Macaca mulatta: one gene and its partners. The protein of the gene in region 7 binds, or shares a complex with, the protein of the main gene of each other region. Links are inferred from orthologs where the notes say so. Each region holds a gene or a part of one and is shown on either strand. Other genes may lie near its edges.

Region 1 (4,467 bases), on a different chromosome or scaffold from region 7:
TGTATTGGGGGCTGCAGTACTTAAATAGGGTGCTTAAGAGGAGGCAGACAGAGAGGACAACTGGGACAAAGATGAGAGGCAGTAGTGTGGCTGGCACATGAGGTTCAACCACAAAGCCAGTGTTCTGGGGCTGAGAGAAGAGTTGTGGAGTGATGGGAGGGGACACGTCGTGCCAAGCTTTGGAGACCATGATGAGAACTCTGGCTCGTACTACTTGGGGGGATGATGATGACCCAAAAATTAGGAGTCTGTTCACTGCTGAAGAGGGCAAAGGGCAGAAGCTCCATTTAAAAGGTTCTAATAAGCCTCAGGCCTTTCTCTGCCTGAAAAACTTACTTTCTGCCCTCTACTTCCCTAGATTACTGCCCCAGTGCCTGGAGGAAAATCAGGTGAAGGCTAAAAGCCACGTAGACAGCTAAAGAGGGCAAACTGGACCTCCAGCTCCACTTCTGCAGGTCTGTCTCAGTCCACACAGCCCTTGCACACGCTCCCTTTTAATTCTCCAAGCATACCTCTCACTTCCAAAACTCCTGTGACTCTGCTGATGAGGGCGTCTCGGCCTGGAATGCTCCTCCTTATCTGCACTGTGTGGGTGTCAAAAAGAGTATATTTTGATGACCTCTCCCCGCCCCTCTTGCTTGCTCACATCCCCTTCACTCCTTTCAAAGTCCGTTCCCAAAGCCCCCAGTTCACCGTCCTGGGCTGTTTTTAGCCAGGTAAGACCTGAAGTGATCCTCTCTTGGAACCTGGTCTGGGGCCTACACATCTGGGTCAGTCTGGGGGTGCTCTCGAAGGGCCACCCTCAAAGAGCGAGCCTCGGCTGGATTCAGTTCCTAGGTCCCAGCCGTCCGACCTCTGCCACAACGCTCAGCAGACCCCTTCCCCTCTCCGGGTCTCAGTTGCCCCGTGAGTACAGTCCCTGCTCCAACACGCAAGGTCAATCGTCTCTGGCTGCTCTGATGCACTCGGTCCCTAACTCAGCCTTAGGTCAGCACAGAAAGCACCCGACCCGGGCGGCCCCGCAGCTCCTCACCCTCCCGCCCCGCCCAGTCGCTGACACAGGGTGGCCTCCAAGGGCAAGGCCACGACTCTTACCCGTCCGCAGGTGCCCCACTGGCTGGCCTCAGCTCGCAAGCAGGCTGCACCCACCGAACTCCAGCCCCGGAACGCCACCCTTTACTCCCCTCCCGCGTGAGCCGAGAATCAGCCGAGCTTCTTCTACCAAGAGGATTGGCCCAGCTCGGCGTCGGCTCAGCCAATTGGCGCTCACGGCTTGATCTTGCCCAATAAAGACAGGTCTCTGTCCCCAGCGTGCCCCTCCCCGCGCTGGGCCTGGGCTTTGCCAGGTTAGTCCCACCCTCTTCGGCCCTGCACCAGTAGGGAGCGGCGGCGGCGAGCGGACGCCCAATGGGGAGCGGGGCTGTGCGCGCGGGGCGGTGGGAGCGGCGCCGAATCAGTGTACACGTCGGTTGCCTAACAACCGGCCGTGGACTCCTTTGGCTATGGTGAGTGCTGCCGCTCTGTCGCGCCCCACGCCCAGAGGCTGAGCCCTTCCCAGGCCCCAGCTCGGCCACGCCGCCTCTCCTGCGCCTTTCTCGGCTTTGACGCACCAGTCCTTCCTTTGAGCTCTTTCCCGGAAGAGTAGGGTACAGACGCTAACCAACCTACTGGGCCTGCGCTTTGCTGCTGCCTCCCCTTCACCCACAACAGGCCCACACCCGCCCCTCGGGCTCCCCTGGCCTTCCCTGATCACCTCGGTGAACCTCCCTGGGCAAAAAAGACTCGAATCCCTCACAGGCCCCTGACTTTCTCAGACCTTGGCCCCCTGGCCGCCTCATTCTGCCAAAATTTCCACACAGAGCTGGGAGAAGGTGTATTGTGTTCTATTAAAGTGTTTTTTACAATTTAAATATAGGGGCATTCAGGGGATGCTGTAGCTTCTTGGAGAAGGCACGAAGGTGTCAGATGGATTGAGTTTTATTACTCGATACTGACACAATATACATCTTAACAACTTGCTAATATTTGGCCAAATCTAGAAGTAATTGGGAAGTCAGAGTGCTTACTGGGAAGCGGAGTACTGGGAGTGGGCATTGTAAGGCAGTTTCCAGAACCAGGATCCCCACATTCGGGAAGAGCTGATTATCTCTACTTATTCGCAGTCATTTTCTTGACTAGCTCTCTTTTGGGATGATTTTCAGTAAGAGGTATCCTTACTGAACAAGTGATCTCCCTGCTTCTAGAAACGACAGTAAAGAAAAGGGAGGGATAGAAGTTCATGGAAAGATTCATTGTTCTTGCCAGTAAACCCTGTTATCTTTCTTGTTAAGCAAAGCTTTGGAATTGGTTGCCATAAAATTATTTAAAACTACATATGGGTGTCTGTAACTATGTTATGTAAATATGGACTGTACGATATATTATTGTGCTTGTGTATTGCATAACGTATGAAGGCCTCCAACTTTAAGAAGACAAACATGGCATCAAGTTCCCAGAGAAAAAGAATGAGTCCTAAGCCTGAGCTTACTGAAGAGCAGAAGCAGGAGATCCGGGAAGCTTTTGATCTTTTCGATGCGGATGGAACTGGCACCATAGATGTTAAAGAACTTAAGGCAAGCTCTATGCATTCCTGCCGTACTGCCCTTCCTTTCCTCTGCCTCTTCCTTGTCATCTCCCTATCACCTCTCTACCCCTTTTGCCCTCTTCTCCCTGCAATAAGTAACAGGGGAGGTTGTACTGTGCTCTGTTTTCCTGTCTTTACTTAGAGTATTATTAAATAAAATTGATTGCAAATGTCAATTAGATCAATGTTATAGTGTTCCCCAATCATATTAACATGACCACATCAGATGCTGGCTTAATGCTCTCAACACTGTTGTTTTTGCTGCTGCTAGTTCAGATGTGCTTATTGAGACAATCCTGTTTTCATTATAGGTGGCAATGAGGGCCCTGGGCTTTGAACCTAAGAAAGAAGAAATTAAGAAAATGATAAGTGAAATTGACAAAGAAGGGACAGGAAAAATGAACTTTGGTGACTTTTTAACTGTGATGACCCAGAAAATGGTGAGTAGCTAAGACAATTTGCATGGTATGGCGCCCCAGTCATCTGCAGAGGCCCATGGCATCTGCCTGTTAAAACAGTCATGTGACCACAGAGCAGTCCAGGTAGCAGCTGCATCAGGAGGCCTGCCCTCCCATCATGTTACCTTGGGCTCCCAAAACAAGCCCTTGTACTTCTTTCTCAAGACTTCCAAGCAGATACCTCTTCCCACAGAATTCTAAACCAGTTAGGAAATAGATATGGGATAGGGAGAGATATAGGGATAGGGAGCAAACGTCACCTTGGATGGAGTGCCTGGCTTGACTGGTGTTTCTCTGAGGCCAAAATGGGCTTCCTGACACTTGCTGCAAGTCTAGACTCGAGTTACATTGTTAAAAAGGAAAGGGTGACCTGACCGGGCAGTGGCAGGGCTACAGGACATGAGTAACCATGGTGTCCCCCTACTCATGTGTTTCATGTTCTATTTGGTAAGTCTGAGAAAGATACCAAAGAAGAAATCCTGAAAGCTTTCAAGCTCTTTGATGATGATGAAACTGGGAAGATTTCGTTCAAAAATCTGAAACGCGTGGCCAAGGAGTTGGGTGAGAACCTGACTGATGAGGAGCTGCAGGTTTGTAATGCATCACACTGGAACTTAAGATTCCCACCTTTGGGCCCTCTGTGACTTTTCTGTTACATTTTCCCTAGTGTGAGCACTTCTTTGAAGGAAAGCCAGTGTACTTTGTCCCTCTGTGGACAACTGAATTCTCCTTTAATAGTCAGACAAACCTATGAACGCTGCTTCCAGAAAAATGCACATAGGCACAGTTTTGCCTACTATTTTACATTCCAGGAATCCCTCTAGTCAAGGTAATCTTCAAGCTCCCTCCCAGGTGATAATGTTTGACAAAGTATGAGTTGGTTTTCAAATAAGTTTTCAGGAACCAAGCTATTATCAGGAGTGGCATACTGGCATTGGGTGGACTACAATTATCTATTCACATAGTGTTATTAAAAGTCTATTGCTTGCCAGGCACAGTGGCTCATGCATGTAATCCCAGTACTTTAGGAGGCTGAGGCAGGAGGATCGCTTGGGGCCAATAATTTGAGAGTAGTGTGGGCAGCATAGAGACCCCGTCTCTAAAAAGAGTCATATTACTTAGTCACCTTTTGGCATTAGTTTATAAATTAATCTAACCTGAATCTTTACTGTCATATAGGAAATGATTGATGAAGCTGATCGAGATGGAGATGGAGAGGTCAGTGAGCAAGAGTTCCTGCGCATCATGAAAAAGACCAGCCTCTATTAAGATCAGTGTCTTCTTTTTCTACTGCAAGCACATGTAACTAGATTTAGTGCCTGCCATTGTGTGAAATCTGGCTTTTGAGAATACAAACTTTTCCCCCACTGACCTCCCTTTATCACT
Region 2 (3,829 bases), on a different chromosome or scaffold from region 7:
ACACCATGGACTGATGATAGCAGAACAAAGCTGCCTGTGTGCCTGCCTTTTTTCCCAAAATTTCTTGTATAGTTTCCTTTCCATGTGAATTTTAGAGTAAGTTTAGCTTGTCAAGCTCTACAAAAATTCCCCTAAGAACTAAAATTATGGGAGGAGGAAGGGAATATCTTTGCCCAGCAACAAGTACGCCTTTTGTGTTCTTTTATTATTTGGCATGTTAAAAGTTCTGCTGCTTTTATAAAATACAAGTTAGAAATGTTAGAAAAAAACAAATGAGATATGCCGATTTGAAGAAAAACTTTTGATTTTTATATCATGATTCTGAATCCAGCCACCTTATTGAAGACTTTTTTCTAAACTATTCCAATAATCTCTCAGTTCCAATACTTCACACTATGCAGGGCTGGTCACAGTATGCTATCGGCATTAGTCTGACTTACAGAAAATGGAACACGTTGGCTCACTTTCAAGCTGGCTAATGGAAGAATGGTTAAGAGTGTCTACCACAGCCTGGTGTTTCACCATCAAATCTGATTAGACCCTATCATATTTCTGTTGCTTTCCAAATAATATGTAATTTTAGCTTTTATTTTATCTTTATATTTCTAAGTAAATATATGACAGACAAAAAACTGCTCATAGTTATTTGTTGAATTCCATATAAAAGTTAATTTTGAGTGTTTCCAATTTATTATCCAAAAGTATTCATGGATATTCAACTTTTGCACTTTTTGCACATCTAAAAACACCTGTATTTTGCCTCTGTGTTTGTTGTTGTTGTTGGGTTTTCTTGAGACAGAGGCTCGTTCTGTTGCCCAAGCTGGAGTGCAGTGGCCAATCTCAGCTCACTGCAACCTCTGCCTCCCAGGTTCAAGAAATTCTTGTGCTTCAGCCTCCTGACTAGTTGGGATTACAGGTGTGAGCTACGGCACCCGGACTGTCTTTATACTTAAACACATTTGGCTAGTAACAGAATTCTAGGTTCAAGAACATTTTCATTTTGAGGGTACTGTTCTGTTTTTAGCATGTGATGTTGCAAATTAGAAGATGATGCTAATCTGGTATCTTCCTATTTGTGGCAAATAGCTTTTCTCTCTGAAAGCATTTGGGGTTTTAGCTTTGGTGTCCTAAATTTCAGTGATCTTTGCCAATAGGTAATTTCCATTTTTAAGACCAATGTCTTTCTTTAGATCTAGAAAATTTTCTTCTGTCACTTCTTTGATATTCCCCCAAAACTTCTTATCTTCTAGGTCACTCCTGTTCCAGAGGAACTTGTGGATCTAACTTGGATCACTCTTTGTACTTGTGCACTAAGTTCAGGGAAATTCTAGTTCACTAATCTGATGATCAGCTATGTTCTTCCTGCTATTCCGCCCACAGAATGACTTTAATATGATCCACCAACAATGATGCTTTTAACCTTTAAGGTGCTGTGTCATTTTTTTTCCCCCAGGACTTCAGCTTTCAAAATCTCTTGGTTTCTCAGGATTAATTATATTTGTTGTCTATGTTTCTTAATGTCTGATGAGGACTGGTTATCTGTAACTATTTATAAATACCATAGATTATGGTAGAAAATACTTCATAAGCTAAGAATCCTTATTTTCCAGGTAGTAGATACCAATTCTGATTATAAAAGCCCAAACAGAAGAGAAAGACACACATAAATATGCACTATATTGAGCTTTGCATTACTGCCGTATTTCTCAAAATTAGATCCACAGATGACTTCATCAGAATCATGAGGGTTTTAAAGAGTGGTTCAAACTGAAAATCCTAGGTTCCTTCCCAAAGAGTTCTGTATTTCTCAACTACGTTCAGTGCAAACCATTACTTGACTTGCTGCATCTGTAAAGGCAACTTGTAAAAAAAATAATAAAGTTAATACTTACCAGCTGTAGTACTAGTTTGAGCTCCAAAGGCAAAAGTGGCTTTTGCTGGCTGTTCAGATTCCTTCTCAGATGGTTTTGTCATGCTAAAACTAAATGTGGACTTGGAAGAATTCTCATCTTTGGTTTGCTCTGAATTCCCAAAGGAAAACACTGGTTGACACTTTGGCTCTTCATTGTCAGCTTTCTTCCCAAAAACTAGGGAAGTAGAAGTGACAGGCTCTTGCTGTTTCTCTTCTGTCCTTCCCAAAACAAACACTGAGGCAGATGGCAGAGAGGCAGGCTCCACATTGCCAAAAGAGAATCCTCCTTTGGTGGCTGGCATTTCTTCTTTTTTAGCTTCTGATGTCTTACATGTGAAAGGAGCCACTGAAGCACTCTTGGTTTCTATGGTTCCAAAGTTGAAGCTGCTCTTGTTCTCAGAGGTCACTATGGTGTTAGCAGGAGCAGGAGTGGAGTTAATAACACCTGTACCAAAGCTAAAACCTGCAGATGAACATTTGGGCAGTTCCTCTTTCTTTTCTTCCTGTCCAAGATTAGACACCCCAAATTGAAATGGAGTTAAAGAAACTGGGTTGCTTAAACCAGAAGAAAGTCCAAACTTAAAATTATCATTCTTACTATCTTTTTTAACTTCTTCGGGCTTAGATTCAGATGATACTCCAAATTTAAAATCTCCTATTGGTTTAGAAAATTTAAAGCCTTCACTCATGGGGTTTACAGACCCAGAATCAGATGACACACCTATTTTGAATCCTCCCTGATCTCCAAATTTGAAATTTCCAGTGCTTGTTAAAGCCTGAGAAGGCCCAGAAGAGGGTGATGGGACACCAAATTTGAAGGATGAGGAGGCTGCTGAGTTCGAAGATGAGGAAGATGTGTCAAAGCCTGCAAAAATATAAAAGACACCACATAGACAATTAATGTACTGATGCTCTCAAACAAAATATAAACATCTTGAACGCCAAAGAAACATAGGAATAACTTTGAAAGGGTCTACTTTGAAGAGTATTACCAGCAGTCGTAAACATAATTCAAGGTGACCAATATTTATGTGGTATGAGAATTGTATCTCACTCCTCACAACTATCCTGACATGCCACTTTTCATTTATCAGACTGGCTGAGATAAAGTTTGATAAAGTTTATACTGGCAATGAGACTGGAAGTAACAGGCTACACATTGCAGGTGGGTGTATAAATGAGCACAAAACTCACAAGGAGCAATCTGTCACTAGTTACCAAAAATTACAAATGCATATATCCTTTGACAAGCAACTAACTGACCTTACAATAATTCAGAAACAGATATAAACATCTCAGGATAATCTCATTTTATATTAATTTTCAAGAGAGAATGAGTGAACACTGAAGCTGTTCTCAAATACTTCATTTTTAAATGGCCTTACAAAAAGGCGCTTTACCATCACCTTTATTTTTATTTTTTTGGCCTTACCTTTAAACCCAGATTTTGTGCCTGGCTTTGCACTTTCACATGCCAAACATTTGGTAGAGTCAGCCTTATTCTGCACTAGGCACACTTCACAGTCCCAGCTCCCCTCAGGCTTCTTGAACTTTTCCAATCCTAGAGAGCCTCCAGAAGGCAGAGAGATGGGTACAGTGCTGCTACTTGAAGTAGGTACTGAACTTCCTAAAAAAAAAAAAAAAAAAAAAAAAACAGGGAGTGGGGAGGGGCAGAATTCATGAAAATTTTAATTTATAATATGTCAGTATCTCAATGACACCCCTAAGTTTAAGTGTTGAATTTCTAATAATATTTCCTATTAAAACACAGAACGTGCCAGAAATACGAACAATTGTTCATATTTATATTGTTTAAAAAAAAGAATAGAACTCTCAGATTTATTTTAACCATATAAATGAGCAGCTCAAAATCACCCTGCTCAGTGGTGAGCTCCCTCTTAACCACATGTTTGAACT
Region 3 (2,655 bases), on a different chromosome or scaffold from region 7:
AAAACGGAGTAAAGAACAAGAACCAAGCCTTTCGGGCCAACCACAGATGGAGGGAGGGTGGGCTGCTCCAGGCGGGCCTGGTCGCATCACTCCTCACCATTACCAGGTGGAGAGCCACACAGTCACCCAAAAGGAGCTGATGGCACTGAAACATCAAGTGTGAGAAAAAACCCCAAGCAATGCTCCTCAGGTCAGGTGGTTACTGTTTCTGCTCCTTTATGCTGTTTATGCTGTTTTTCCCTTAGTCAGGGGCAGCAAGCCAAAAAAAGCATGCTGACATCTGGTTAGCATTAGGCTTAGACTGGCCAGCAGAGTGGATGCCAATACATAATTTGAATTTGAATGTCAGGAGGTACAGGTGCACATGCTACTTCTCCACAGTCCCTACCACTCCCCACTCTCTCAAAGTCAGTGGGCTGTTTCCACTGGATCTGCATGGCCCTACCAGAGTCCTTGGGAGTGTCTACAAGGGCAGGCCCTGGTGTACTACTTTAATCTCTGATGCAATGAAGGATGTATTCAAGGAAAGGCTAGAAATAACAAAGGAGCAAGTGGCTAAGGGTAGAAACCACAGCAGGTATAAAGGGAAAGTCAGCAAGGGGTAAGACCTTCTGAACTGTGTGTACCACAGTAGTCAACATCCCTCTTCATGTGCAGAACTGGCCTTACTTCTTTCTCTAAAACAGAAACTTTTTTTTTTTTTTTGAGACAAAGTCTCCCTCAATCGCCCAGGCTGGAGTGAAGTGGCGCAATCTCAGCTCACTGCAACCTCTGCCTCCTGGGTTCAAGCGATTCTCATGCCTCCGCCTCCTGAATAGCTGGGACTACAGGCATGCGCCATCATGCCTGGCTAATTGTTATATTTTTTAGTAGAGACGGGATTTTACCAAGTTGGCCAGGCTGGTCTCCAACTCCTGACCTCAGCTGATCCATCTGCCTCAGCCTCCCAAAATGTTGGGATTATAGGCGTGAGCCATCGCACCTGGCCAGAGACATTTTATAAAAGGCATCTGCTCAATGAGGAATAATTTTAAACTGAAAAACCACTAGTGACATCCCAGAGCCAGGCAGTTGGTTCTAGCATAGTGTTGAGAGCTGAGTTGAGTGTTTGTAGTTCTAGAGATGAATTTACCTGGGCCACACACTGGAATGACTCAGGGAGGTCTGGGCTGCAGCAGTCAGGGAAACCAGAATCTCTGGGGTCTGGGCATGAGAGTTCTTAGAAACTCTCCTAGAGATGCCAGTATGCAGCCCAGCTGAGCACCCTGGGCTAGATGTTGGCAATATGCTAGAAACCCGACAGACAGACAGTGGCTCTGGGGCTTATGGGGTGATAGTCACAGTCACTGAATTTGCTTCTTTAGACAAAACAGATCAGGGAGGGCAAAGGTGGCAGTGCATCATGATGTGTTTCATGTACCCAATGGAACTACTTAAAGATGATCAGAGTTAAGCACCAAAATACCCTCTAGTACAAGTGGATAATAGAAGAATTAAACCAGACTTCACAGGATCAACCAGAAACCTGTTTCTCCCAAGAACATGTCAATCACTGAAATGACTGTATTTTCTCAATCAGGAATTCAGACAATAATCTGATGGGGATGTATGCACTTACAGAAAAGCCAGGCCAAGGTATTTGAAAGGGAACCACTCTGGAAAACTCAGTCTGGATAGTTACTGTAACTAGAACTCTTAAAGCTGTTAGGTACAGGAAAAGAAAAAGCTTTTGGTGGAAGTGGGGAAAAAGGAATTCCATAACTCAGGAAGAAGGAACTTACTTCATCACTGAAATTTCTGAAGGCAGCCACTCTCTCTTCCACACTTTCCTGATTCAGGGGCACCAGCTTCAAGCGCTCAATTATCTGTTTAAAACAACCACCAGCCCCATGTAAGACAATCATCACAGTCATTTCATCTCTCTACATGTAAAGTCAGCACCCTCACATACTCCAAAGGGCTTCTTCATAGAAAACACCATTCTCCCTTGTGTACACAGAAAGGCTTTGATTCTAACTAGCTAACTTAATTCTTATCCTCATTTTCTGACACATTTTTTAAAATTCAGAGATTTCAAATTACTTTGAGAAATGTATCTGTTTTCAGATTAAAGGGGAAAGGAATAGGGGGAAAAAATAAAGCAACACAGGAAATCCTTTTAAGTCCCAGGACTGTACTTGTCCTTCTTCATTTAACAAACATACTGGCAACAGCTCCTTTGTTTTAAGTAAATTCCATGCAGTGTTTTGAATTTTCAAGGGTGTACATTAACCTGCACTTCAAACACCTTTCCTGAAACTTACATCAAAAGCTCTATCAATATGACCACTATGATACTCGTCAAAAAAGGTGATCAAGTCCAAAAGAAGATAGAACGTGGAGTCCACAAATTTATTTGCACTTATTCCTTGAGCCCTATACCTGAAAGACAAAAACGGGGTGGGGGGAGTGAGAGTGTATCAGGAATTTCTGTGTAATCCATAACTGTGGAATAGCATTTAAAAAGACAGTGGGGTATGGTTCATGTGGCTCATGCCTGTAATCTCAGCTACATGGGAGGCTGGGGCGGAATGACTGCTTGAGGCCAGGAGTCAGAGACCGGCCAGGAGTGAGAGACCAGACTGGACACACAGCGAGACCCCATCTCCACAAAAT
Region 4 (4,485 bases), on a different chromosome or scaffold from region 7:
AATCTTTGAATGCCACTTCCTGTCAAGTTCCTGCACAGTATTCTTCTCAGTTTCATGATAAACTTCTTGAAATATTCCTTTGCCTTTACTTTCTCTCTTCCCCACTTCACTCCTTAAAACCACTTTAATTGTAGTTTGGCATTTGTCTCTATATAACAATGACTTCTGGAAAAAAATCACCAGTGACTTTTGCGTTTCAAACTTAATGTACATTGTGTCACTTGATATTATTTGTCCAAAATAATAAATATTCTGTTCTGGATATTCTTTTTTGTTTGTTTGTTTGAAATGGAGTCTCACTCACTCTGTTGCCTAGGCTGGAGTGCAGTGGTATGATCTCAGCTCACTGCAACCTCCACCTCCGAGGTTCAAGGGATTCTCCTGCCTCAGCCTACCGAACAGCTGGGGGTTACAGGTGCGTGCGGCCACGCCTGGCTAATTTTTATATTTTTAGTAGAGACGGGGTTTCACCATGCTGCCCAGGCTGGTCTCAAACACCTGACCTTAAGTGATCCGCCCACCTTGGCCTCCCAAAGTGCTGGTATTACAGGCATGAGCCATCGCACCCAGCCAGTTCTGGATATTGTTAACATACTCTGTGCTTTTGTCTAAATTATTTGATTCTAATTTCCAACAGTGAAATGGGAATGATGGAGAGTTGATACAATGAGATTGTAAGGCACATAGAACATCGCTGACATAGCTATAATCAGATCATTTTCCCAATAGAATGGTTTGCAGGGATTAAATGAAATAATGGCTGTAAAATTCTTAATACATAGCTGTAAATAGCAATGATTATATTTTAGTTTGAAAATCAGTAAACTAAAATTTAACAACTGAGGAAAGAGAGTTCAGCTACTTTGGTTGCTCAGGTAGAAAAATACTTGGTGATTATGAAACGATATGTCTGGAATTTGTTTCAAAATAATCGGGGGCGGGGGGTGGGGAGGATAAGGTGCTGGGGTGGTAAGGGTGGGTTGGGGCTGCCGTGGTGGGAAATTGGCCACGTTATTGATGCTGCCTGTTCACTATGCTAATTTTGTATCCATTTGAAAATTTTATAGTTAAAAATTATGATTTGTTTCGCTCTACGCAACTATGTTGACACAACATACTTGGTAAATTGAAATGTCACGGAAACTTAGTTTTTAACTGGTCAATGACTTTTTGAGGTGTAGACACTTCACACCTTACTCCACTCCCCACTGTAAGGAAGATTTAACTTGAAACGGAGCTAATGATTTGAATTTACGGCTTTTATAATCTCATAAGTGGGCGTCATTTTAATAACTACTCTCAGAATATCTTTTTCTATTCCACTTTACTTTTTCCTCTCCACTTAACCAATTCATCATTAGAAAGAAACTACAAGTCCCAGGATGCACTACACGATGAACGTCCGATCGAGGACCTCGTGTCTCTGAAGTGGTTGCCCTCGCCTTATTTGAATGGGAATAATCCCAATGAAAATTGATACTTGTGACCCAGAGCAGATTCTGGAGCCTTCTGTACACCTGGGACGGCCCAGCGTGGAGGGGACAGCCTGGTGCCTTTTTGTTCAGGCTTCACTCAGGGCAGCCTCACCCCTTCCTGGGGCCTCCATGCGGCAGAAGGGCTCTGTTAGTGCGCCTCTAAGATGGCGACGCCTTTGGCGGTAAATTCGGGTAAGTGTGGCCAGACAGAAAGGAGATGATTGAGCTGAGCGATGACCAGGTCTTCAGGGAGAGACGAGACCGTGGGGTTTCTCGGAGTCTAGGACCCAACTTATGTGCGGTGCCTCCTTTTCCCTAATTCTGGGCCTAGAGTCTCACCCCTCCCCAGTTTGAATGGCGCGCGTCGGTGCTGCGGCTCTAGCCCTTGAGTTGGCGTTTGAGAGTCGAGGTAGTGAGGCTTGGGCCGCTGGACCCAGGTGTTTAATCTCTCACAGCCCAGGGCTAAGCCTGGCCCCCTTACCCCCAAGTTCCACTGTGCGTCTGTGGTCCAGATTTCGCCGGAATAGCGACAGGTCTTCAGCAGTGAAGCCAAAGGACCCGAGATATTTTCCAGCCACGAGCAGAGGCTGAAAGTAGGCGCCGGTGTTCTTAGAGGGTGGGAGATCTTGCAGGCGGCGAATACTCCCGATGATGAAGTCGGCCATCTGAAAGGTGGTCAGGAAGAGGGTGGCGGGGCTTCAGCGGACGTCTCCTAACTCTGCGGGTGTGGTTAGGCCCTGGATGTTCTTGTACCTTTGGAGCTGTAGATTTTCGGGGTGGAATTGAATCTAGAAGGTAGTAAAGGAATTCTGGAAGATTTGGGGTGGATCCTCTTTTGGTGATTCTCAGTTCGGGCGGTACCGCCCTCCAGTGGTGTCTGAATGAGTGAGTGCATTTTGATTGTCATATTTCCTGGGGTACGCTGCTGTCGCATAGTAGGCGGAGCAAGGATGCAGAAAGTCCTTCATGGGCAGAGCAGTCCGGGGAAAGAATTTGGCGCTTAGAATGTTAATGCCTCGGTTGAGATGCTCAGAACTTCGCGGGCAAGATTAAGAGTACATTTGTGTGGTAAATGCTTGTAAGAATCTCACTTAAAAGGACTCTTTCCTGGGTGCATTTTCTGTTTCTTTACAGTCACTTTTTAAAGTATTGGTTCTATTTTCCACAGGACTGATATTCTCGAAAAGTTGTCTAAATCTGCTTTGTAAATCAAATCATTTCAGAAACGCTGTGATAAATTATAATGAAAGCTATGCTTACTGAGCACATACTATATCCCAGCTTTACGCTTATTATTGTGCTTATCTCATTCAGTTGCCCTTTGGAGTAGTTGCTGTTAAATACACTATTTTACAGATTTGGAAATAGAGACTTCAAATAGTTACGTAATGTCCCCAGAGTTAAACATCTAATGATTCTAAGCCAGTCTTAGGTGCTTAAACTACTTAGTGCTACTACTTAAGCACAACCTAATTCATTTTATGATATTAGACATATATTAGAAGGTTAGTAATGAAGTTACATGCTTAATATTGCTGTCCTTCCTTCCCAATTAGATATGCTTAAAAGCAAGGGTTGCGTGTTATACGTGTGGTTATATATAATTTCTCTATTTTATTTTATTTTTTAATTTTTTGTTTTTGAGATGGGGTCTTGCTCTGCCTCCCAGGCTGGAGTGCAGTGATGCGAACCCGGCTCGCTGCAACCTCTGCCTCCCAGGTTCAAGCAATTCTCCTGCCTCAGCCTCCCGAGTAGCTGGAATTACAGGCACGCGCCACCACGCTGGGCTAATTTTTGTATTTTTAGTAGACGCAGGGTTTCTCCATGTTGTCTAGGCTGATCTCGAACTGCTGTCCTCACGCTATCCTTCTGCCTCTGCCTCCCAAAGTGGTAGGTTTACAGGTGTGAGCCAGCGCGCAGGGTATATACATTTATTTTCCTTTCTTTTTTTTCTCTTTTTGAGATGGAGTCTCACCCTGTCACCCAGGCTGGAGTGCAGTAGCATGATCTCGGCTCACTGCAGCCTCAGCCTCCCGGGTTCGAGCAATTCTCCTGCCTCAGCCTTCGAAGTAACTGGGATTACAGGCGCCTGCCACCATGCTTGGCTAGCCTGGCTTATTATTATTATTATTATTTTGAGACGGAGTCTCGCTCTGTCGCCCAGGCTGGAGTGCAGTGGCGCGATCGCCACACACTGCAAGCCCCGCCTCCCGGGTTCAAGGAATGTCCTGCCTCAGCCTCCGGAGTGGTTGGGACTACAGGCGCCCACCACCGCGCCGGGCTAATTTTTTTTTGTATTTTTAGTAGAGACGGGGTCTTACCGTGTTAGCGGTAAAACCAAGAGTTTTAAAAGCCAAGAGTCAGGAGGTGGTTTTTTTAAAAAACTAAACGTGGTAGGGAAGGAACTCTTTTTCCATCAAGTAATGAATGTCGGGTTGAGTGGGTAAAGGAAATGTGTCATATACATGCAATATACATAATGTATATGCATATACATAACGTATACATGCATATACATAATATCTTTATGCAGCCTTAAAAAGGAAGGAAATCCTGTCACATAAAACAATGTGGATGAATCTTGAGGACATACTAAGTGAAATAAGCCAGTCACAAGACACAAATACTGCATGATTCCACTTATATGAGGTATCTGAAGTAGTCAAACTCATAGAAACAGAAAGTAGAATGGTGGTTGCCAGGAGCTGGGAAAGGGGAAAATGGGGAGTTGTTTAGGGGGCATAGAGTTTCTATTTTGCAAGATGAAAAAAGCTTTGAAGATCTGTTGCACAATGTGAATATGCTTAACACTGCTGAACTGTACACTTAAAATTTGTGGAGATTGCATTCTGTGTTATGTGCTTCCTTTAAATTAGTTTTAAAAAATCAAACATCTTAGAGTTGTAAGGAAAAAATATAGAGATTGTAGAGTTCTAAGACTTATGGTTGGTCGGGTGTGGTGGCTCATGCCTGTAATCCCAGCACTTTGGGAGGCTGAAGTAGGCAGATC
Region 5 (3,829 bases), on a different chromosome or scaffold from region 7:
GAGTTCTTCAGTTTCATCCAGAGTTACTACTGATGTCTGGATCTCCTGTTCTACCAGACTATCCACCATCACCCGGAAGTAGGCCCAAACTGTGTCTTCCCAGGTGTCACAGACAGGAAGCAGCTTTTTCCCCATTACAAAACAGAAACATATAGACATATTCAACAGAAAAGAAAGGAAAATCAATTACATCCAATGATACAGACTATAAAATCACTTTATAATGATATAAAACATGGCGGATTTAAAAAAAAATTATGCCAAATAAGCTTTCCCCTGCCAACTACATCTTGTAAGATGTTTGAACTGTTCAGATTTTTTCATACTGTTAACAACAACATGTTTTCCAGGCTCATATGACATTTCAACTGATTAGTGTAGTATCCCTAAAGATAGCTATAATATGTGGGGAGTATTGGGTTGTGAGAAAAACATGCGTATGTAAGACAACCCAAGGACTCACTGTGCCTTTCTGGCACATTTCTGCATACAGCTATGAGTATTTTAAGTCATCAATAAATGTGTGTTGGAGTTAAGTTTACAATTCTTAGTTAAAAACTGAAATCTGATTTCATTCATTAAAACACCATGTATGTTATGGGATACATCAAATTAAGCACAACGAGTCACTATCTGATTCATGATTATCTCTATCATTGCTACACTTAAGTATGTACATACATACTTAAGTATATACACTTAAGTTTATATTTGTTAAATACAATTGTTAGAATATTTTATCTATTTAATTTTATTCCACAGAAAAAATTTAAACATTAAAACAGATTGCATACCTGCTTAAGATTCCCACTTAAAGCTGCATAAATTGCTCTCTCGTATCTATTAAAAAGCTCCTAAAACACAATGAACATAAACAAATTTGAAATACTGTTTTTCTTAGTATGTCAATTTTCCTCATAATGTGGAGTCTTGCAATCTCTTCTAGACTGAACCTATTCACCTGATAGTTTTTAAACTTTAGTGAAAGATCTAGTGGGGTAATAACAAGGAAGAACTTCAGTGTGATGAAATAATCAATGCTGAGATCTGGAGAAAAAAAGTAAAACATTTAAATGCCAAATATCGGGTGAAAGCAAATCCAACTCTAGTGGATGCTTTGAATATTTAAAATCAAATTTTATTCCAGAAACAACCTATATATTATTTTCTCCTAGAATGTTTCTCAATACCTGATACTCTCTGATATTGACCTGATACTCTCTGATACTGACCTATGTACAACATCAAAACAAGGCATGCATTAGTTTGCATCTAATTTCTATGTAGAACTAATTCCCCATTTTACTTTTGGTATTTCCAGTTTTCTTATCATCCAAACAAGAGACTTCAGAGACTCTTACTGCATAACTGAGTCCACCTCTGCCTTCTGTTTCTAATCACTGCTCCTAACCAGTGTCTCTTCCTTCCTTTCCATTCCCATCAATACTATCCTAGGTCAGACCCTTATGACTTAGTGTCCAAATAATTCTGACAGGCTCCTAACTACTTTCTCAGCCTTTTGTCCATCTAATTTTAAGTATATTTTTCCATTGCCAGGCTGATCTTCTCAAAAACACTTCTGCTATCTGCGCTAAAGCTTCTACCACCCTGACAGCCAATTCCACAAGCAAACTTTGGGCCTTTTTCAAGGTAAAGTGCCATATTTATTGTAGTATTTATGTATTTTTTAAACTGTTTGACAGATGTAAAACTGTGCTACCATTTTTATTAACTTTTTATTATTTTACGTATCACTAATGAAGTTTTTGAGTATTTTTGTCTTAACTCCATTTTCCTGTTAAGTCCTATGGGGTTTTCGTACAATGCTGCACATTGTGGTGACTTTGAATACCTATGTCATGTTACAACAGAACTGACAGTATTTCCTTTATGAGCATTCTTCTCCAACCTGGTAGACCTACCTTACTTTGAGTTTCCCAATCTATGTATCCTACCTAGAATTCCTTCCTCTTGTTTTTCATTCCCCAAAACGCAAATCCTACTAAGTTTTAAAAGTTCAATTCAATTCTTTCCTTAGGGAAGCCAGCTTTAAGCTTTAGTCCAATACTTTTTCTCTAAATTCATTTGGTACCTCCTTTACATTTCTGCCTTATATCAATGCTTAATTCTTAGTACATAGTGTTTTAATAATTCTGATAAGTTGTTAAGCCTATTCCTCAATTTAATTGGAAGTTCTTTGAAAACCAGTTTTACACTACTTTCAACGTTTCATAGCCCCTGAATAGGCTTTCAATTAATTGGAGTTAAAAACAGTATCACTGAATATTTTATTTATCTTACATCTTCTGCCATTCTCCAGCAACTTATTTTCCAAATGCGTCTATATGGATTCCCTTCAACAGGTTCTAATTCTGTTCCTATAAAACAGTAAAAGAAAATTTCTGGTTTAAAATGAAACCTTATTACAATCCTTTCTAAAAAGAGAAGCTATAGTTCACAAAGATTGGCATTTAGAGCGAAATGCCTTTGTCCTCAACTGTCAATATAAAATCTACTAAAATACCTCCATTAACATTAGGGTCATGGTACAGTTTCCAGCCTTCAAGTGTTGCAGCTCTCCATGCTTGACCACAGCGTTTACAGAGTCGTTGTGCCTTAAGAAACAAGAAAAAGCAGTCAGTACAATAACCAGGGTACTTTAGAGTAAAGTATAACCAATATATGACAAGTTTAGATAACTTATGGAACAAATGTTACAAGGGATGGATGTAGGCAGTTAATAATGGCATTCTGGCTGGGTGCGGTGGCTCACGCCTGTAATCCCAACACTTTGGGAGGCCAAGGCAAGTGCATCACCTGAGGTCAGGAGTTCCAGGTCAGCCTGGCCAACATGGTGAAACCCCGTCTCTACTGAAAATAGAAAAACTAGCCCGGCGTAGTGGCGGGCACCTGTAATCCCAGCTACTTGGGAGGCTGAGGCAGGAGCATCACTTGAACCCAGGAGGCAGAGGTTGCAGTGAGCCAAGATTGCGCCACTGCACTCCAGCCTGGGTGACAGAGTGAGACCCTGTCTCAAAAAAAAAAATAAATTAAATAAATAAATAAATAATAAATAATGGTATTCTATTTTTAAAACATATGTATGTCTTTCTGTGGCTTCTGCCTTTATTTTTCTTTCTTTTTAAAAATTTTTTGCAGAGACAGAGTCTCATTATATTGCCCAGGCTGGTCTCGAACTTCTGGACTGAAGGGATCCCCCCCACCTCAACCTCCCAACGTGTTGGGATTACAGGTGTGAGCCACCATACCTGGCCCTGTTTTTATTTCTAAAAAATCCCTTTTCTATTTGACTTTAGGCTTAACAATAGGTTCCCACGGCACCCACTGGCATTTAATTCTGCTAGAAACAAATGGGGTTAAAAGAGGTTGATGACCTCTGATTTATGAAAAACTACTACAAAAACAGTCTCTAATGACAAGGCTGTTACTGCTCATTTACTCCCCTGATAATATTGCATGTTCAACTTGACCAGTAAGTCAGTAAGTAAATGTGTTTATATACCAGTAAGGTAAATACATGTTTGTTGTTCCATCATCCCTTTAGGGAATCACCTTTTCCCCATTCTTAGCTCCTATGTTTTGGATAGGCCTGATCCCATTCCAGAACTCTGAGTTTAGGGATGTGAGCTATAGCAAGATTCACCATCAGGACTCTTGCTGGAGATACTGGGAAAGAAAATATACTCCTTTTACTGAGATTGCTAGCTGGCAGGAGGATGTAAGCTTGGAGCGTCTCATATCCATCTCTGATACAACATGGGGAGTAGCTTCCTGGGAATGAAGGCACAGAGAGTAGGGTAGAGCTATG
Region 6 (4,362 bases), on a different chromosome or scaffold from region 7:
CTGACCTCGTGATCCGCCCATCTCGGCCTCCCAAAGTGCTGGGATTACAGGCGCCCATCACGAAGTCCGGCTAATTTTTTTTTTTTTTTTTTTTGGTCACCCAGACTTGAGTGCAGTGGCACGATCTCGGCCGACTGCAACCTCTGCCTCCTGGGTTCAAACGATTCTCTTGCCTCAGGTGTCCGCCACCACGCCCAGCTAATTTTGTAATTTTAGTGGAGATAGGGTTTCTCCCTGTTGGTCAGGCTGATCTCGAACTCCCAACCTCAGGTGATCCACCCACCTCGACCTCCCAAAGTGCTGGGATTACAGGCGTGAGCCACCGCGCCCGGCCTAAATTTTGTATGTTTAGTAGAGATGGGGGTTTCCCCATATTGGCCACGCTGGTCTCGAACTCCTGAACTTGTGATCCACCCGCCTCGGCTTCCCAAAGTTTGGGGATTACAGGCGTGAGGCACCGCACCCTGCCCAAGCCCGGCTAATTTTTAAAATATTTTTAGTAGTGACGAGGTTTCATCATATTGGCCAGGCTGGTCTTGAACACCTGACCTCCAGTGATCCGCCCATCTCGGGCTGCCGAAGTGCTGGGATTAGAGGCTTGAGCCACCTCAAGCCTCTAATCCTTCAGGAGCATCGATTTTGTCCCCGTGCCTCTTTTTTTTTTTTTTTTTTTTTTTTGAGACGGAGTCTCGCTCTGTCGCCCAGGCTGGAGTGCAGTGGCACAATCTCGGCTCACTGCAAGCTCCGCCTCCCGGGTTCACGCCATTCTCCGGCCTCAGCCTCCCGAGTAGCTGGGACTACAGGCGCCCGCCACTGCGCCCGGCTAATTTTTTATATTTTTAGTAGAGACGGGGTTTCACCATGGTCTCGATCTCCTGACCTTGTGATCCGCCCGCCTCAGCCTTCCAAAGTGCTGGGATTACAGGCGTGAGCCACCGCGCCCGGCCTCCCCGTGCCTCTTGTGTGTGTTCTAGTGTGGGAGTGACGGCGACTGCTTTCCAGCACAAGCCCATTTGACTGGGTTTGGACAAGTGGCTGCTACGACACTAAGGTGGAGATAAGGATGGAGCGAGGACTCCCAGAGTTGGGAAAGCTTGCAGGCTTACTGGGACCTCAGTCCGGCACAAGTTCCCACCCAGGTGCCGCCGCCCCAGCCTACGCACGCGCAGTCGCACCGTCTCTGGCCAAGGGTTCCTCCTGCCCCGCCCGCCCTCTCCGGGGGCCTTCTCTCCGCTCGGCACCAGGGTGTCCGCGGCGCCGCCTGATCCCGTTAGCGCGGTACTGTGAGTGCAGTCCGTCCTCGGCGCTGTTTTCCCTGACTTGCTGTCGACGCCAGGAAGGAAGGACGCGCGCAGAGGACCGCAGAGGGGTGGCCGTGGCTGAGGGAAGAGAGCGCCGCAGCACTGAAGGTTTGGGCTTGCAGGCGCTGCAGGAGGCGCCCAGGCGGGGTCCTGTCTCTCAGCCAGCTCTGAGCGGGAGGCCTGAGCCGGAAGCATTGACGTCCCGGCGACTTCCCAGAGCCTGGGGTTCGGCGCTATGGAGGAGCTCGATGGCGAGCCAGCAGTCACTGTAAGGGCACCCCGAACAGGCTTGATCGTCCTTGTGGGTTGAGAACTGCGTCTGCTTCGTTACTTCAGGCTTGTCTGCTTCCCTACTGGCTGCGAGGCTCTCGTCCCCTTCCCTTGATTCAGTTGCCACTTTCCGGAGGTCGCAGTGTTAACTAGGTGCCCGACCTCGGGTCGTAGTGGTCGCGGGGTTTCTGCCACCAGTCACAAAGCCAGGCCTCGAAGGTCCCAGTCCGTCCCTTTCCTTCTTTTGTCTTGCTGACCTTTCTACTTCCCTCGCATTTCCTCTTGGGTATTAGAGTGGGTTCAGCCCAAGCAGAGGAATTTATGTTTTTCTTCCAGCCATATTAAGCTCTGCATCGCGGCACGTTGAGTTCTGCTTGTGTGACCTAAGGTTTATTAAACGTATTATCTCAGGAGACTATTCATATTTTATCGCTGTGCATTCAATTCCATTTGAACTTTGAAGAGAGTATGTCAACTGTGGATGATCTGTGATGTGTATAAAAAAAATTCATGGACTTTATGTGCGACATACCTACCGTTTCTGCTACTTGGAATGCTTTTGTTTTCCCTCTTTCTCTTGTTAACCGCTGACTGAGGCAGGTCTCAACCGATGAAGGTTTATTTAGCTAAGGTTGAGGATCCAACCGGGAAAAAACACAGGTCCCAGGAGGATCTGAGACTTGTGCTTTTTCCAGAGATGGTTTTGGGAACATCAGTAGTTAAAGAGGAAGGAACTAGCAGGAGGGGCAAAAAAGGGAGGTTAGGCAGTGAAGAGGCAAATGGTTACATTCTTGTGAGTCTCTGATTAGCCTCAGTAAATCTGCATTTTACCTGTGAAAAGAGGGAGTAGAGGAAAAATTTATGTATGCATTCATCTCAGGGTAGGTAGAGGGATGGTTTCATTTCTTTTTTTTTTTTTTTCTGAGACGGAGTCTCGCTCTGTTGCCCAGGCTGGAGTGCAGTGGCGCCCCTCTGGGCTCACTGCAAGCTCGGCCTCCTGGGTTCACACCATTCTCCTGCCTCAGCCTCCCCCAGTAGTTGGGACTACAGGCGCCCACCACCACGCCCGGCTAATTTTGTTTTGTATTTTTAGTAGAGACGGGATTTCACCGTGTTAGCCAGGATGGTCTGGATCTCCTGACCTCGTGATTTGCCCACCTCGGCCTCCCAAAGTGCTGGGATTACAAGTGTGAGCCACTGCGGCTGGCCTCTTTCTTTTTTTGAGACGGAGTCTCACTTTGTCACCAAGGGTGGAGTGCAGTGGCGCCATCTCAGCTCACTGCAACCTCTGGCTCCCAGGTTCAAGCGATTCTTCTACCTCACCCTCCTGAGTAGCTGAGATTACAGGTGCGTGCCACCACACCCAGCTAATTTTTATATTTTTGGTAGAGATGGGGTTTCACCATCTTGGTCAGGCTGGTCTTGAACTCCTGACCTCGTGATCCGCCTACCTCAGCCTCCCAAAGTGTTGGGATTACAGGCGTGAGCCACCACACCTGGCTAGGAGTTCGAGACCAGCCTGGCCAACATGGCGAAACCCCGTCTCTACTAAAAAAAATACAAAAATTAACCTAGCGTGGTGGCGCATGCCTGTAATCCCACCTACTCAAGAAGCTGAGGCAGGAGAATCGCTTGAACACAGGAGGCAGAGGTTGCAGTGAGCGGAGATCGTGAGATCGCGTCACTGCACTCCAGCCTGGGCAACAAGAGTTCGAACTCCTGGCCGGGCGCGGTGGCTCAAGCCTGTAATCCCAGCACTTTGGGAGGCCGAGACGGGCGGATCACAAGGTCAGGAGATCGAGACCATCCTGGCTAACACGGCGAAACCCCGTCTCTACTAAAAACACAAAAAATTAGCCGGGCGAGGTGGCGGCGCCTGTGGTCCCAGCTACTCGGGAGGCTGAGGCAGGAGAATGGCGGGAACCCGGGAGGCGGAGCTTGCAGTGAGCTGAGATCTGGCCACTGCACTCCAGCCTGGGCGACAGAGCGAGACTCCGTCTCAAAAAAAAAAAAAAAAAAAAAAAAAGAGTTCGAACTCCTGACCTCAGATGATCTGCCCACCTCAGCCTCCCAAAGTGCTGGGATTACAGGTGGGAGCCACTGTGCCCAGCACAAAATGAATTTTTCTTACTAGTGTTATAAGAAAATGTTATTGAAGGATACAATGTTATTACAGGACCAGCTGTGCTCTTCACTTAAAGTGTTTTTCAGCCAGGCCGGCATGGTGGAAAGTGTTTTTCAGCCAGGCGGGCACGGTGGCTCACGCCTGTAGTCCTAGCACTTTGGGAGGCTGAGGCGGGTGGATCACCTGAGCTCGGGAGTTTGTAACCAGCCTGGGCAATATGGTGAAACTCCATTTCTACTAAAAATGAAAAAAAAAAAAAAGCCGGGTATGGTTGCACACATCTATAGTCCCAGCTACTCAGGAGGTTGAGGCAGTAGAAGACCTTGAACCCAGGAGGCGGAGATTGGAGTGAGCTGAGATTGTGCCACTGTACACCAGGCTGGGAGACAGAGTGAGTCGTTGTCTCAAAAAAAAAAAAAAAAAAAAAGAATAGAACGACTTCAGTAAGAAGAACATTCTTCATTTTAGATTTCTATGTCTTATTTTACTAGGTGATTCCAGGTGTGAATTCCAAGAAGAACCAAATGTGTTTTGACTGGGGTCCAGGGGAGATGCTGGTGTGTGAAACCTCCTTCAGCAAAAAAGGTAGGGGTTTTTTTTGTTCCAAATTGTCCATCTTGGTACATCTGGTTGTTTTTCTGTTTATTACCTCAGATTTGACTAGTT
Region 7 (3,829 bases):
TTGGGAGGCTGAGGCAGGCAGATCACCTGAGGTCAGGAGTTCAAGACCAGCCTGGCCAACATGACGAAATGGCATCTCTACTAAAAATATAAACATTAGCCAGGTGTGGTGGCACATACCTGTTAATCCCAGCTACTCAGGAGGCTGAGGCAGGAGAATCGCTTGAACCCAGGAGGCAAAGGTTGTAGTGAGCTGAGATTATGCCACCACACTCCATCCTGGGGGACACAGCAAGACTCTGTCTTGCAAAACAACAACAAAAAAACACCCCCCAAAAAACGGAGGGGGGAGTAGTAAAGCAAAAGCTTTAGTAACCTAAAAGGCAGTACCTTTACCAGAGGTTTAGCCTTTGAGGCAAAATAAAAAGGAAGAAAGTGGAGTTTATGAATGAATAGACCTAAGAATCTGACTTTTGGCATTTTCCTTCCTATTACATGTTGGTGTCCTGGTGAGCATAACCTTTTTTAAATGATTCATAATCATTCTAAGTTCATAGAAGATCAATCCCAAAGATAAATTCTCACTGTAGAAATGCAGAAAGACCATAAAAGTACCAGACTGAGGCTGGATGTGGTGGCTCATGCCTCTAATCCCAGCACTTTGGGAGGCTGAGGAAGGAGGCCAGGAGTTTGAGACCAGCCTGGTCAACAAATAGACCCCATCTCTATTTAAAAAATAAAAGAAAAAAAAAGAAAGCTACGAGGTTAAATGTGTAGTGATAGTGGAATGCAACAAGCCCTTTATATAGCTTACTGATTCTGGCTTTTCCTGTGATTTGTTCTTTATAATCCCAAAACTAGCCAAACCCTTCAAAATAAATCCAGTCAATGGCTCCAATTAGTTGGCTTTGGATAAATGAGGTTCCAACAATCAAGGTTTGAATAACGATCTAATCATATTAGATTAAGCTGAGCTATGCCATCCTGTATTCTTATCAAGACTTATGGCCAGACACAGTGGCTCACACCTGTAATCCCAGCAGTAGGAAGGCCAAAGTGGGTAGCTCACTGGAAGTCAGGAGTTTGAGACCAGCCTGGCCAACATGGTGAAACCGTGTCTCTACCAAAAAAAACAAAAAACAAAAAACAAAAAACTAGCCGGGCACGATGGCAGGCACCTGTAATCCCAGCTACTCAAGAGGCTGAGGCAGAAGAATTGCTTGAACCCAGGAGATGGAGGTTGCAGTGAGCTGAGATCATTCCACTGCACTCCCCTACACTCCAGCAGCCTGGGTGACACAGAGACAGATTCTGTCTTTAAAAAAAGAAAAAAGAAAAAAGAAAAAAAAAAAAAAAGATTTATATCTAGGCAGTCATTAAGCACCTGCTGAATTGCCTCATTAGTGAAACGGAACTTTAAAAAGTAAATATATGCATACAAATTCCTTTTAAAAAGCCAGTGAGTACCTCAATCCAGAAATTCAACTTCTATGTATTTATTTGAATGAAGTGAATTGATACAGAACATATTTTATAGCAATTCAGAGTAATGCTTATAGTTGATTTTGATTTATAGCTTATCTATGCTTTCCAGTTTTATTACAAATGTAATGTAACATAAAATTTAAATTTTAATCAAGTAAACAATGTTTAAGGTCCTAAAAAAAAAGAATTAGAAGACACAGTTTGGCTGGGCACAGTGGCTCACACCTGTAATTCCAGCCCTTTGGAAGGCAAACGTGGGTGGATCACCTGAGGTCAGGAGTTTGAGACCAGCCTGACCAACATGGTGAAACCCTGTCTCTACTAAAATACAAAAATTAGCCAGGTGTGATAGCAGGCACCTGTAATCTCAGTTACTTGGGAGGCTGAGGCAGAAGAATCACCTGAACCCGGGAGGAGGAGGTTGCAGTGAGCCGAGATGGCACCATTGTACTCTAGCATGGGCAACAAGAAACTCTCTCAAAAAAAAAAAAAAAAAAAAACAAACAAACAAAAAAAAACCCCAAACCCGTCATGGTTCCTATTCTACAGGAATAGGTGGGTGTGATCCACCCCACTTGGCCTACCACAGTGCTGGAATTACAGGCATGAGCCACTGTGCGCACCTGAAGTATGTCTTCTAATTCTCTGTTTAGGACCTTAAACATTGTTTACTTGATTAACATTTAAATTTTATGTTACATTACATATTCCACAGGAACCAGCAATCTTCCTGGGAAGTCCACAATTAACACTCACAGACTAGCAGTCAAAGGGAAATGCACAGTCGGGGGGACAGGAAGGAGGTAATGAGTAGGAAGGCGACAGGGGCGCAGAGAAGGACCATAATCCTTCCCCACCTGACTGCTGGGCCAGAGAGCAGGCCTCACTGATCCTTTTGCCTGTAAGGTAGCTGAATACAGCTTCCACAGGGCTGCTTTTATGGGTTAAGGAGACTTCCTCTTCAATCTGAGGTGTGGCAGTACAGGATAGCCAGCGGGAGAAAGCTCTTCTTCGCTCTAGAATTTGAATGTATTCACAGGGTTCATTTAGCTGGCTGTCAAGCTCCTTCAGGTGGCCCCATAGGGCTTCACATAGTGTCCATGTCAGGCTCCAGTGCTTCACAACTAAGGCAGGAAGAGAAAAACAATGTTATGAGACAAAGCCTTACAACAACTTCACAGAGGGCATCCTTCTAACTGTGATGTTAAAAATACATAAATTAATAAACATCTCGAACAACCACTCAAGTTGATTACCCTGAATCTGTCTCTACCTCACTCAGCTTCATCTTATAATTTCCAGAAGTATATGGTATAAATAAATGCTTGCTCACATCATGTTTCTGTGGTACTTACGTAACAAATGTAACCGTTAAACAGGTTCCCCAAGCCTAATTATGGCTAATGTCATCTCAGATGATGTCTACTTTGATCAAATTCTATCTACAAAAATCAATCTACAAAAGCACTGTTTATCATTTAAGCCACTTACAAGTATGCACTGGTAAAATAACTTACACATTTGAAAAGACAATGAGACAATTAAGTAAATACAAAGAACTGAAGGAACATAAATCCCAAAATGTGTGGCACAGGACATTCTAAAACAGCCCATTTTCAATAAAGGTGATGTGCAAAACAAAATGATTTTTCTACTGTTTGAAATATTAACAGAATGATTTTTCTATTGTTTGAAATATTAACAAATTAGAGAACCCCTTTATCAAAGTATTGATTCAGAAAAACATGGTCATGATAGGGGAGAACGGTAATCATGAGAGAAGCCAAGAAGAGGAAATACAACAAAGTTGTTGAGAAGACCAATAGTACTGGAGCTGGACATGGAAGAATGGACAGGATTTAGAAAAGCAAGAAGGGGCCGGGCGCTCACGCCTGTAATCCCAGCACTTTGGGAGGCCGAGGCGGGCAGATCATGAGGTCAAGAGATGGAGACAATCCTGGCCAACATGGTGAAACCTCATCTCTACTGAGAAAACAAAAATCAGCTGGGCGTGGTGGCGCGTGCCTGTTGTCCCAGCTACAGTGACAGAGTGAGACTCTGTCTCAAACAAAAAAAAAGAAAAGAAAAGAAAAACAAGAAGGACTGTATCTCTCTCCCTATGTTCTCTGGATTGGGTAAGAAACGCAATTTTATAAATCCAAGGATTTGACTGGCTACAATTCTTTGTGGAAGAATTTGTACATTAATGGGTAAAAGAACAAAGTGACAAGAATATAGTGACAATTTCTTCTTGCTTGGGAATCTGCTTAAACTCAGCCTCAGAAAATGACAAGCACAGGCATTTACCTACTAGACTGGTATCAAGAACTCCCGTGTACACTACCACCCCTATTACTGGGACATCAAAGATTAAAAACATAATGTATACTCACTTTGTGCTTCTG

What was found.
Region 1: NUP98 (region 7) and centrin-2 share a complex: the UniProt entries of both Homo sapiens proteins name them as parts of the nuclear pore complex. The link is inferred for Macaca mulatta from reciprocal best matches to the Homo sapiens genes NUP98 and CETN2.
Region 2: NUP98 (region 7) and NUP153 share a complex: the UniProt entries of both Homo sapiens proteins name them as parts of the nuclear pore complex. The link is inferred for Macaca mulatta from reciprocal best matches to the Homo sapiens genes NUP98 and NUP153.
Region 3: NUP98 (region 7) and NUP93 share a complex: the UniProt entries of both Homo sapiens proteins name them as parts of the nuclear pore complex. The link is inferred for Macaca mulatta from reciprocal best matches to the Homo sapiens genes NUP98 and NUP93.
Region 4: NUP98 (region 7) and NUP205 share a complex: the UniProt entries of both Homo sapiens proteins name them as parts of the nuclear pore complex. The link is inferred for Macaca mulatta from reciprocal best matches to the Homo sapiens genes NUP98 and NUP205.
Region 5: NUP98 (region 7) and NUP107 share a complex: the UniProt entries of both Homo sapiens proteins name them as parts of the nuclear pore complex. The link is inferred for Macaca mulatta from reciprocal best matches to the Homo sapiens genes NUP98 and NUP107.
Region 6: NUP98 (region 7) and NUP85 share a complex: the UniProt entries of both Homo sapiens proteins name them as parts of the nuclear pore complex. The link is inferred for Macaca mulatta from reciprocal best matches to the Homo sapiens genes NUP98 and NUP85.

Annotation. Positions count from the first base shown.
Region 1 is NC_133426.1:159,105,817-159,110,283, reverse strand, and holds the start of centrin-2, read left to right. Parts: upstream 1-1,478; 5' UTR 1,479-1,502; coding exon 1,503-1,505; exon of another isoform or gene 1,506-1,871; intron 1,872-2,453; coding exon 2,454-2,612; intron 2,613-2,934; coding exon 2,935-3,063; intron 3,064-3,533; coding exon 3,534-3,671; intron 3,672-4,260; coding exon 4,261-4,350; 3' UTR 4,351-4,467. UniProt on the Homo sapiens protein: Plays a fundamental role in microtubule organizing center structure and function. Required for centriole duplication and correct spindle formation. Has a role in regulating cytokinesis and genome stability via cooperation with CALM1 and CCP110.
Region 2 is NC_133409.1:165,434,383-165,438,211, reverse strand, and holds part of NUP153 (nuclear pore complex protein Nup153), read right to left. Parts: intron 3,540-3,829; coding exon 3,345-3,539; intron 2,778-3,344; coding exon 1,893-2,777; intron 1-1,892. UniProt on the Homo sapiens protein: Component of the nuclear pore complex (NPC), a complex required for the trafficking across the nuclear envelope. Functions as a scaffolding element in the nuclear phase of the NPC essential for normal nucleocytoplasmic transport of proteins and mRNAs.
Region 3 is NC_133425.1:52,442,040-52,444,694, reverse strand, and holds part of NUP93 (nuclear pore complex protein Nup93), read right to left. Parts: intron 2,422-2,655; coding exon 2,304-2,421; intron 1,866-2,303; coding exon 1,782-1,865; intron 1-1,781. UniProt on the Homo sapiens protein: Plays a role in the nuclear pore complex (NPC) assembly and/or maintenance. May anchor nucleoporins, but not NUP153 and TPR, to the NPC. During renal development, regulates podocyte migration and proliferation through SMAD4 signaling.
Region 4 is NC_133408.1:175,386,345-175,390,829, forward strand, and holds the start of NUP205 (nuclear pore complex protein Nup205), read left to right. Parts: upstream 1-1,622; 5' UTR 1,623-1,639; coding exon 1,640-1,667; intron 1,668-4,485. UniProt on the Homo sapiens protein: Plays a role in the nuclear pore complex (NPC) assembly and/or maintenance. May anchor NUP62 and other nucleoporins, but not NUP153 and TPR, to the NPC.
Region 5 is NC_133416.1:75,841,547-75,845,375, reverse strand, and holds part of NUP107 (nuclear pore complex protein Nup107), read right to left. Parts: intron 2,616-3,829; coding exon 2,525-2,615; intron 2,379-2,524; coding exon 2,302-2,378; intron 855-2,301; coding exon 795-854; intron 124-794; coding exon 1-123. UniProt on the Homo sapiens protein: Plays a role in the nuclear pore complex (NPC) assembly and/or maintenance. Required for the assembly of peripheral proteins into the NPC. May anchor NUP62 to the NPC. Involved in nephrogenesis.
Region 6 is NC_133421.1:84,893,988-84,898,349, forward strand, and holds the start of NUP85 (nuclear pore complex protein Nup85), read left to right. Parts: upstream 1-1,494; 5' UTR 1,495-1,536; coding exon 1,537-1,569; intron 1,570-4,187; coding exon 4,188-4,281; intron 4,282-4,362. UniProt on the Homo sapiens protein: Essential component of the nuclear pore complex (NPC) that seems to be required for NPC assembly and maintenance. As part of the NPC Nup107-160 subcomplex plays a role in RNA export and in tethering NUP96/Nup98 and NUP153 to the nucleus.
Region 7 is NC_133419.1:72,107,108-72,110,936, reverse strand, and holds part of NUP98 (nuclear pore complex protein Nup98-Nup96), read right to left. Parts: coding exon 3,818-3,829; intron 2,549-3,817; coding exon 2,282-2,548; intron 1-2,281. UniProt on the Homo sapiens protein: Plays a role in the nuclear pore complex (NPC) assembly and/or maintenance. NUP98 and NUP96 are involved in the bidirectional transport across the NPC. May anchor NUP153 and TPR to the NPC.